3 linked regions of the Rhinolophus ferrumequinum genome follow. The main gene of each other region encodes a partner of the protein of the gene in region 2 in a complex. Links are inferred from orthologs where the notes say so. Each region holds a gene or a part of one and is shown on either strand. Other genes may lie near its edges.

Region 1 (3,751 bases), on a different chromosome or scaffold from region 2:
AGCTTTGCGCAGTGGCAGTATCCTAGCCAATGAGGTTTATCCATAGCGTAATTACGGCTAATTGAAAACTAAAATGTTCTATCGTTAACACATCACTTTTGTTTAAAAGGCCAAATTATTTTTAAAATGCATGAGACTCCTCCAGAATCTCTACAAAAAACAAAGAGCACTATTTTACTTTATGAACAAGTATATTCCTAAAATGTACACAAATGATATAGTTTTGTAAAAAAAGTTACAAGTCTGTAGATAGATGCTCTTTGGTTGAGCTTTGATTGGTATTTGTTCCTAATACTTCACCGCTAAGTTTCTTTCTGCTATTCTAATATTTCCCATCTGTTCAAACCCCTGACCCCAATCGAATGGTCAATAAACCAATATTTAAATTTCCCAAGTTATATTATTTTATAGACATACATTTACTCATTCTTTTAACAAATAATTTATTGAGTGACTGCTCCTTATATACCACACTAAAGAATGACACCTTCCTTCCTCTCCAGGAGCTTACAATCTACCATATTTTGCCGTGTATAACGCACACTTTTTTGCCCAAATTTGTGAGGGAAAAACAAGGATGCATGTTATACACGGGTAGTACTAATTCCGCATCTATATAAATGTTTTTAATTCTTTTATTTCTGCTTATGAGTTAAAAGTGTAACTCTAGAAAGCAGTAACGATATCCATATGCAAAATAATACCCTGGAATACGATAATCAGTTTTGTTGAACTTACCATGAACTTGCAACGATGAAGAGTTCTTGGCCTTCTACAAAGCGTAAATATCATAAATTTGTTACCAGTACATAAAATTTTTTGTACTTTGTACTTGTTCTTGTGTTTTGTGATTATTTGTTACATAAAATTTCTTGTACCGTAATATGATTAAAAATAAATGCTAAAATTCCTTTATAATACAAAAAACAAGTATCTAAATGTAAACAAATAAAAATTTGAATTAAAAAAATTAAAACAAAAGGTTTTTTCCCTGAAAGTTTGGGCCAAAAGGATAGGTGCACATTATACACAGGGAGTACATTATACAGAGCAAAATACGGTAATTAGAGATAAATGGAACAGAATGATATAGAGAGGGTGCCAAAAAAATGTATATACATTTTAAGAAAAAAACCGTATTAAAATTACGCTGATGGTAACCACTTTGAGGACCTTTTGTAATTGCAGAAGTCAAACGTGATTTGTATTCATCTTTTGTTATCGGTATATATTGAGCATTACAATTTTAATAGTTTTTCCCTTTCTTAAAATGTGTATACATTTTTTTTGGCACCCTTTGTATTTCAGGCACAGATAGTAAGTACCATAGGAATGCAATGTAAGAAAAGTTACGTTGTGTGGGGATCAGCAAGAGACTTCATAAATCAAAAAATCTGAACTGGACCTTTAAATAGCAACACGTAACTGGGAGATACAACAAAAGGTAGAAAAGAACAAGCCATGTTTATTCAGAGTAGAGTGCCTGACTAGAGAAGACAAACTGACCAAGAAACCTGGCACTCATAGAAAATTAAAGTGGAATGGGGCCTTACATACCTCCTAATCTAATCCTTCCTATCGAAATTGTTTAACCCCTTAGTCCTCCAAGCAGATTCTCTCCATAGCTTTTGATCCTTGGAGTTGTCAACCTTCCCTGTAGTCTATTACAACCCTAAACATCTGAGTATGACAATTTTTTTTTTTAGGCAACCCAAATCAAGGCATTTTTAAAACTCTAAATTGGTATAAAAATGTTAGTTAATGTCACTACTTTCAAATTTTCACAAGTAATCTCTACGAAACTCGTAAATCTGGGCTTGCCACACCCGGCTTACAGCCCTTCAGTGATGTCCCATTTTTCTTAGAAAAAAGGCATAAATCTTTAAATGACTTACAGGTCTTGCAACGCTGGTCCCTGCTTACCTCTCCTGTTTCAGAAAATAACGTCTCTCCCACCGCTGAGCTTCCGCATATGCTGTTTCCTCTGGAAACCTCCTTCTCTGCTCCTAGTTTGGCCTAGTTAGTTTCCACTCATCTCAAATCTGGTTTTACTCTCATAGAACGGTGTTCCTTTACGCTAGAGTTCACCTTGGTTTGTATTTATGCATCGTTGGTGTGATTATTTAACTGATACTTTCTCCCACTAGACAACTCCATGAGATCGGCGACATTGTCATTCACACGCCTGGGAACACCCGTCAATCAACTGATACTTGTTGAAAGAATGAATGTTAGGTTGTCTCCTCCAATTACACCGCAGGCATCCCGGTGCCTGCTTTGGCTCTGCCTGTGTGAAGAAGCATTTTACTAACAGGGGCCTTATTGACAGACTCTCCACAAACTGCGCACTGCCCAGAAGGGCCTCGAATTTAGACCCGAAGTCGGAACGTCACTTCCAGAGATTTCGCTCGGGATTGTGGAGGTGGGTGAAGGAAAGGGCCGGCAGGGCGCGGATGCACAAGCCCTCGGAGAATTCAAGACTCCAACGTAAGCATTTTACGTCGAAGTTATTCCTCAATCTTCAGTCATCTCCGCTACTCCCGCGCAGCTTAAGCTGTGCTTTTAGGGGACCCTGAACGAAAACTTTGCCAAAAAGAAATGCAGACCCCCAAGATCCGCACTCGTCGCCAACGGCACTCCCAGATCCTGGAACTGGGCAGTCTCGACCCTGAACCCACCTCCCGAAGCAGCTTTAGGTCCCCGTGCTGGATCTCGTACAGCTGAATGACGCCGGTACCCCGTGCGAAGTTGCCCATGGTCACAAATTTGGCGCTGCAGGGCACCCACTTACAGTCAAATACCGTGTAGTTGAGGCCCTTCTGGATATGGGCGATGATCTGAGGCTTCTCAAAGGCCGACATAGTGCAGCCGACTTCGCCTCCTCCGACTGACACACTCAGACCCTGACAAAACACTAACCTGGAAACCAGACTCCAAACAGTAATGACAGTTTGTCCTTCCCACTTGCCGTACTCGTCCCCGAACGCCCTAGCAAGCTGGATGTAGTTGTCTTAGTTAATGCCAGATGTGCTCCTGAAGTCACACAAGATTTTTCTTCACCGATGGCACAAATTTGTTCATTGCCTTTACCTACTGCCTTTCGCACATATTCAGATGAGAGATCACAAAATGCTCGGGCTGTGGCGGGACCAGAGGGAGACCCTAAGACTAAGGCATATTGTAGGATAACCCCCTTTCCTTCCCAACAAGCACACACAGAATCGGGCTTGAAGTCCCCTGCGTGGGACCTCTTAGGAAAGGGGGCGGAGCCCTGGGGTGGGTTGGCCGACGCTGGAGCCGCCGCGGTGCCGCCGCGCACGTGTTCGAGCCGGAAGCGCCGGCTGCTCCTGGAGATTTCTGGGGATGGCGACCGAAATGGAGGCACAGAGCACCGGGGCCGAGGACGGCTTCACCCAGGTCACCCGCAAGGGTGGCCGGCGAGCGAAGAAACGGCCGGCCGAGGAGATCTCCGCGGCGGGGAAGGACGGAGACGCGGGCCCCATGGACACGGAGGAGGCCCGGCCCGCGAAGAGGCCTGTCTTCCCGCCCCTCTCCGGGGACAGGTTCCTGGTACTGGCGGGACCATAGGACAGGAACGGGGTAGAGGCCAGAGGGTGGTCAAGCCGGTGGCCTTTGGGTGATGTTGAAGCTGCGGGGCCTCTTCTGGGGTGAAGTTTTTGGAGAAGTGACTCGGCTGAAGTTTAATTCTTTCAGTTAAAGGAAGCTTTTTTGAGGATCAGCTGTCATTTTA
Region 2 (3,751 bases):
TTTGTCCTAATGCAGTATTTGCATAATCGTTACTTAGATTTTACTTTACAAGGAACTATAAATAATAAAGTATCCTAGAAGATGCTTTTAGTGACACATTACATTAGAGAAAACAACCATTGGCCCTATCAATTTAAAACGTATTTTTATTTTTTTAATTTATTTTTTAATTACATTTATTGGTTGACAATGGTTAGTAAAATTACATAGGTTTCAAGTGTACAATTCTATAATACGTCATCTATATATCACATTGTGTGCTCACCACCGAGTCAGTTCTCATTCTATCACCATATAGTTGACCTCCTTTACTCCCTTCTATCACCCCCCCCCCTTATTTTTATTGATACCTGTTATCACTTCAGTTGGGTCGACCTGGCTACTGTGGGGGCTGATTGAGATTATGGGCAGGTTTAGGTCCTCATTCCCCTGCCTCAGCTCAGTGGGACTGGACGCTACCACTCCTACTTCTGTGCCCTCTCTCCTCATGGTATCTCCCAGGACCCGGACCTTACCGCTCCTACAGCATCCCTTCAAGAACACTCCATAGTATCGCCCAAGTGGGGGGGAGGTTCCATCGTGACATTTCTCCCCTCTCCTCCAGTGGTATCTCCCAGACTCTACTCTTCCTCTTTTCATAGTAAGGGCTCCCCCTCAACCCTGTGCCTTGTTATTAGGTACAGGTGTGTATATTTTTTTGGAATTAGGCTCTAGAAGTTGAGTTCCAGAGCCTAACTCCAAAAATGCCTGTCCACCAGGAAATTTACCCAAAGAAGGGCAGGCTACCTCTTCTCAGGGCAGCCCCACTGTTCTGCAGCGTGAGGCAGGAGGCAACGGCTTCTTCCACTGTACGGCTGGCACACCTGTCCAAGATGGCAGTGCCCACAGAGCAGCGCCGCTTGGGTGCAGCCATATTCCGATCTCAAAAAAGCAGCGGATGGCAAGAGAACTATGGCAGACGCCGGTGACTGCGCCCTGATGATTGCGCAACTCAACTTCGCAGGTACTTTTGAGCGTGCGCATCAGACACCCAGTCTCCCGCCAGGTAGACACCCTGGCGTTAGAGGTCAGAACTCGAAAGGGAAGCGTTTCTCAGGACCCAGGTGCTAGCGCCTGAGCCGTGCTGCGGTAATTTTGAAGTGGTTGGCTACCCAGGTACTGTGGGCTGAGTGATGGGGGCCAGGATCTGGGTCGATGGTGGGACTTCTGTGGTTTCAGTGATGGGGTCTTTTATATCGGATGCTCAGCTAATTATTAGTCAGCCTTTCTTTTTCTAATTAAAGCATTAGGACCATACATTTCCATCTAAGACCCAAAAGATATGTTGTATTGTATTATCGTTATTTCTCATGTCTAAGTATTTTTAAATTTCAGTTAAGATTTTTTCATTTCACACGTGTCATTTTGAAGCGCATTTCTGTTTGCAATAAACAGTACTACTGATATTGATTTCTAATCTGATTTCTCAGTGGTCAGATAAGTGAATTGTGTCATGAACATTCCTTGAAATCTGTGGAGACTTGCCGAGTGGCAAAGTCCTTTGTATCTTTCCATGAATGCTCCATCTATCGCGTCAAAAGAATGTGTTCTCAAAAGAAAAAAAAAAAAAGAATGTGTTCTCCAACTGTGAATTGTGTTCAAAATTTGTATACGCTCTCTGATTTTTTTTTCACTTACTCGTTCTGTATAGAGCAGCGTGATGGTGATTTGTGCATTTCTCTTTGCTTGTGTCAACTTTTGTTGTACTTGAACCTTATTATTAGGTACAGATGTGCATATTTTTATCATTAATTAATTAATTTATTTTTATTAGTTTCAGGTGCATAAAACAAAGTAATAGTTAGAAATTTATCATTTATATCCCACACAGTGACAACCTCCCTCCCCCATCAACTAACCCTCTGACATCGCACACAGCCATGACATTTCCACTGTCTCTGTTCCTAATGCTGTACTCTGCTCTCTTGTAAATATATATATATATATATATATATATATATATATATATATATATATATATAAAATTGTAGTTGACATTCATTATTGTTTAGCTTCAGTTTCAGGTGTACAGTGCAGTGATCAGGCATCTACATCATCCCTGAGGTGGTCTCCCTAATGAGACAAGTGTCCATCGGATACCCTACAAAATCTTTACAACATTATTGATTACATTCCCCAAATTGACTTTCGTATCCCCGTGGCAATCTTATGGTTACTGATGGTACTTTCTAATCCCCTCACCTTCCCTCTTATCCCCACCCCCCCTCCCATCTAGCAACCCTCAGTGTGCATATTTTTTTAAATAGACATTGCTAATGACTCTCAAAAATGTTATATATATATTACATGTATGCATATAATGCATATAATACATATAATACATATATGTGTATATATACATGAATGTATAATAAATATTCCACCAGAAATGTATAAATAACCCATTTTCCCAAATCCTCTCCAGCACTGGATGATGTTGTTCTTTTTCATTTTTTATCATTTGAGGGCTGAATAATTATATATAGTTTTTCTGTTTTACTTTTTCCACCTATTAAGTGAGGTTGAGCATCTTTTCCAGTTAATTGGGCGTTTGGATTCCTTCTGTGCATTTTCATATCCTTTGTGCATTCCTCCTCTCTCCCTTGGCTTTTACATGATAAACTTTCCTGGTCTCCCTCATTGAGTATTACTAGTGTCATATCTATTCCCATACATATTAAGATCAATTTCTGGACATTTTCTTATATTTCACTAGCCTATTTATCCCTGTTTTGATTGCATTAGTTTTCATTGTTAGCTTAATATCTGCTAGTCCCAGCACCCTCTCAGTATTCCCTTACATAATCTTCTTGGCTATTTATACTTCCATATAGAGTTTGAAATTGTTTTACCAAGTTGAAAAAGAATTGGAATTCTGATGGACACTTCATTACTTCAATAGAGTTAACATCGAAGCAGTGATATTTTTGTTTTTACTATATTCCTATCCAGGGATATGGTCTGTCTCTCCATGTACTTACATTTTGCGTTATATTATAGAATAACTATTAGTTTTCTTATTTTAAGTCGAGCATCGTTCTTGTGTTCATTTTTAGGTATTCTGTGTTTATTGTCCTTATTGGAAATAGGATATTTTTTCCCTTTTCTGTTTCAATCTGCTGTATTTATTTTCTTGTACCCTACCACCTTATCAAAATTCCCTGTGCTAGGTTTCTGACTATACAATGATGTCACCAGCAAATAAAAATGATTTTCTCCCCCTTCTCAGTATTTAGCCAGTTTATTTCATCTTCATATTTAATGTCATTAGCTAGAGCTTTGAAAACACTGTTGTGAGGGGAGCAACCCAATGTTGTTGCTAGTTTTAATGGAAACGTCTTCAGCATTTTACCTTCTAATGTTATGCTTCCTGATTATCTCCAGACTATGATCTTGGCTGAATTTTCATAGTTTCTTTCTAGCCTTGTTTTCATTTGAGAATTACTGCTGAATTGTGTCAAATACCTCTTTTTTCATATACATCGATACAATTGTGTTGTTTTTCTCCATAATTTGTTGATGTAATACATAAATTGATAATTGTACTAACATTAACCACCTTTGTCTTACTGGAAAACCCAATTTGGTCTTGGGATAAATTTTTATTTTCATACTAGCTGGATTCAAATTGCTAATATTTTATTTAAGATCTTTGCATCTATAAGACAAAATAATCTGCAGATAACTGCTTCTTTGTATTAGAACTATATAT
Region 3 (3,751 bases), on a different chromosome or scaffold from region 2:
TGCAGGACTCTGGCTTTTACTCTGGTGAGATGAGAAACAACTGGAAGGTTTTAGACTTTCCAATGCACTTTAAACAAAATTCAAACTTCCCTTCACTGTGGCCTGGCCTCTGGCCCATCTTTCCCAGCCTCATCAAATGCCCTTCCCCTATGCTTCCTCTGTTACAGCCACTTGGCCTCTAAAGAGCCCCCATTCCCTCCTCCAACACCTACCCCATGTCTAGTCCCTTCTTCAACTTCCTCCCAATTTTCAATTATGTATTTATGTCGTTCTACTCATCTGTAGAACACACGGGCAAGAACCGCAGTTTGTATACCTCCCAGCACTTTCCTAATGCCACTGGTGAGCCAGTGGCTAATGGTTTGTCATGGAGGTGAGCAGCTAAAACCCTGAGCCACAGTGTCAGACCTGTGAAATGTTCTCCCCTATCTCCAGGGGCAGGCCGTGCCACAGACCTGTGGCCTCCTGCCTGGTCTCTCTATTAAGTACAAGATGGAAAACGGAACAGGCCTCCTCGGCTGCAGTAAGGAAGTCATGACTTACCAGAGAGGCTGAGATCCTTCTGCAGGGCCCTGAGGCCCTCTCGGTTCTGATTCCTTTTGGTGTCCAGGTCCACAATCTGAAAAGTTCAGAGGCAGGAGGGAACACAGTTACCTCTTGCCCCAGCCTATCACCTCACAACAGACCAGGGGCTATTAAAACCTAACAGAGACAACAAGGCGTTATTCCTGGCTTACTTCCAGTGTCCTGAAAGTAAAATGGGCTGATGTGTGAATATATATTTTCTCCCACTTAGCTCTCAGATGTTTAAAGACCATGCTTTGTACAGGTGTCTTCCCCCTAGAGAAGGTGCTGGGAAAACGTCTGTTAACTAAACGGATAATTTTTATTATCCACTGGAGTGCTAGTTCACAGGCTTTAGGGCATTTCAGAATCACCAGGGGAGTGGAAACCTCTCCCTGCACAAGCTCCTCCAGCTGATTCTTAATTAGTATCATGAGAAGCCCAACTAACTAGACTGGATCAGCAGGGGTGGGACACTGAGACGGTGGTAACAACACAACAGCTGCTAAGGAAGTGAGGAGGCGGTACAATGTGCTGCTTGAGAGCGCTGGCTCTGGAGCCAGAATAGCCAGGTTTGAATCCTGCTGCCCGCTATGTGCTGTGCAATTCCACCTTCCTCTTTACCGGAGATACGAACAGTACTCACCTCCTAGTCATTGAGCCAGGAGCAAAATGAGTTAGCACAGTAAGTACTCAATAAATCTTAACTACTATCATCATCGCCCAGTACACCTTGATGCCCTGTTCAATAAGCTCTTCCTGAGTCTTCTCCCTCGAAGTAAATACCAGACCAACCAATCGATCAATCATTCTAACTGGAGATGAAGAGTCATGACTCATTCTTGACTCCTCCTACGCTCTCACCCCTATGTAACCATCATCGAGACTAAGGCCATCTCCAAAATATATTTCTGACCCATCCGCTGTCTCCATCCTCGCCGCCCAGGATCAAACCCATCCCTCACCTGGACTGTGGCAACTGGCCCCCACCAGGCCCCTGCCTCCTTACAGTCTGTGCTCCACAGAGCGGCCAGGGGGATCCTTTTATTAATAAAACCTAAATCCAATGATCTCATCCTCCCGCCCCCCATGAACTCCCTTCAAACACCCGGCACTTCAATTAGAACCAGGCCCGAGCTTCCTCTTCAGGTCCACAAGGCCCTCTACGACCCCGGCCTCACCTTCCTCCCGCGTCCCCACCCCTGCGCAATCACAAACCACTCAGGCCTCTTTTCTATTCCTCTTCTCCCTTCAGGGCCTTGACTGGGGCGGTGCAACCCAAGTCACTGAGAGTACCAGGAACTGCATTTTGAAAAAGGGGTTCAGGTAAACCGCCCAAAGGGGTAATGGAGCGGGATCCGGAGAGCACGGTAAGGGGCAGAGGAAGGATGGAGAGAGAGGGGATGCCTAGCACACAGCAGGCGCTCACCTAAGACGTGCCGTATAAATGGGTGAAGCGCGGTGCCGTGCCCAGCGTTCCACCACGTTATCTCACAACTGCCCTATGTCTGTCCTTACAGCCAGCGGACCACCAGCCCCGGGCCACTCACTGCCAGCCGGCGCTGGAGCCAGATCCCGGACCCCGCGCGCTTCCCCACGGCGCTGGTCACCAGGCCGCAACCGCCGAACCCAGGCGCCAGCGCCGCGGACGGGCCTCCCACCTGCCGCTTGTCCGCCAGCACCGCCTCGGCGAGCTCCTCCACTTCCACCAGGTACCGCAACACCCGTTCCGCCTCGGGGGACAGCATCGTCACCGGCAGCTCCAACTCCGCAGGGCCGCGACCCTGCTCACCGTCTGCTCCAGCTCCGCTTGCGCACGCGCCGCTCTGAGAGGACTCACAGTACACATGCGCAATTAAAAAACGAACGGCGGCGCGCAGGCTCCAACGCATGCGCGTCAGCCGAACGCGAGAGGCGGGGCCCAGCTTTGGGGGCAGGGCTGGAGCGCCCCCTGCAGGCCCAGAGAGCACAGGCCGCAGTGTGGCCTCAATCTCTTCCTTCTTCCCCTCACATATTTCTTGAGCACCAATCTATTATGTGACAGGCAGTTTTAAGTACTGAGGATGCAGCAGTGAGCAAAACAAAAGTCCCTGCCCTCGTGCAACTTCATCCTAGTAGGAAACACCAACAGTTAACGACAAAACAAATAATTATATACTCTGGCAGGCACTGATAGGGCTTTGGAAAGAAACAAATCATTCTTGCCCTGTTTGGCGAACACCAAGGAGGCTCATATGGCAGTGCGACTTATATTTAATTTTATACATTCAGTTTCCGATCTATAAAATAGGGGTTAATAAAAATCCCCCTCATTGTCTTTCCGCAGGATCAGAAGGAGGCAGGAATCATTTTTAATGCACTTTGACCTCTGTGTTGGGCCCACTGTCTGGAGTAGTTGACCTAGACCTAAGGAAAGGGCTGGAAAACCATAGGCAGTGAGTAATGAAGTTCCAGCTCAGAAAAGAAGTTCTGTACGTTCTGGGAAGCGAGTCAGTGTGGGCTGTAGGATCGGGGAGGACCTCCAAGAAGAGGCAGGCAGATGGCAAGTGGCTGCCGTTCAGAACCAGAGGGTTCCCTAGAGATCATGCCCAAACCCCTCATTGTATAGCTGGAAAAACCAAGGCTCAGAATGCGGCAAGGACTTTTAAAAGTCGGCAGCGGACCTGATGTTAGAACTCTGATCTGTTGCCTCCAAGTCTAGCTTTTTATTCTCCCCTTTTGGCCCCTTGTGACCAAGCCCTTGCACACCCCTTGCCTTACTTGAATTTCACAATAACCTTTGCCCCATCTCACAGCTGCAGACTCCGGGTGGGAGAAGGGCCATGCTTTGTCATCTAGAATGTCAGCAGCAAATGTGGGTCTAGAAGCTCTCTGGCCTCCATTCCACAGCAATCTCTGCACCCTGAAAAAAAGCCCTCTCCAAAACTGTGGCCCTAGAAGTCTCAATGGCATCTCCTCTTTGCCTGGCCGTTGGCTGCCTTCAACTGCCTGAGGCAGAGCTAATTTTCCCTGCAGCTGCCTGGTATAGGGAAAGAAGGAGATTCATTAAGGATTCCTCATTGAGGGTGAATTTGTCGCCAAACCCAGGATGTTTTGTGTAAACACCTTCTGGTTCAGAAATGCAGACACAAGCCCTGGGAAGGAAGGGGGAACATTTGCCAAAGGAAAAATGGGGCTCATTAGGCAT

The links. The genes of interacting proteins can lie anywhere in the genome.
Region 1: UXT (region 2) and DNAAF10 share a complex: the UniProt entries of both Homo sapiens proteins name them as parts of the PAQosome complex. The link is inferred for Rhinolophus ferrumequinum from reciprocal best matches to the Homo sapiens genes UXT and DNAAF10.
Region 3: UXT (region 2) and PDRG1 share a complex: the UniProt entries of both Homo sapiens proteins name them as parts of the PAQosome complex. The link is inferred for Rhinolophus ferrumequinum from reciprocal best matches to the Homo sapiens genes UXT and PDRG1.

What each region holds. Positions count from the first base shown.
Region 1 is NC_046296.1:22,366,083-22,369,833, reverse strand, and holds the start of DNAAF10 (dynein axonemal assembly factor 10), read right to left. Parts: upstream 2,970-3,751; 5' UTR 2,862-2,969; coding exon 2,679-2,861; intron 1-2,678. Other genes in the region: RNA-binding protein PNO1, read left to right, coding at 3,364-3,570. UniProt on the Homo sapiens protein: Key assembly factor specifically required for the stability of axonemal dynein heavy chains in cytoplasm.
Region 2 is NC_046284.1:86,247,128-86,250,878, forward strand, and holds the start of UXT (protein UXT), read left to right. Parts: upstream 1-1,140; 5' UTR 1,141-1,155; intron 1,156-3,751. UniProt on the Homo sapiens protein: Involved in gene transcription regulation. Acts in concert with the corepressor URI1 to regulate androgen receptor AR-mediated transcription. Together with URI1, associates with chromatin to the NKX3-1 promoter region.
Region 3 is NC_046306.1:22,580,366-22,584,116, reverse strand, and holds the start of PDRG1 (p53 and DNA damage-regulated protein 1), read right to left. Parts: upstream 2,400-3,751; 5' UTR 2,313-2,399; coding exon 2,226-2,312; intron 620-2,225; coding exon 544-619; intron 1-543. UniProt on the Homo sapiens protein: May play a role in chaperone-mediated protein folding.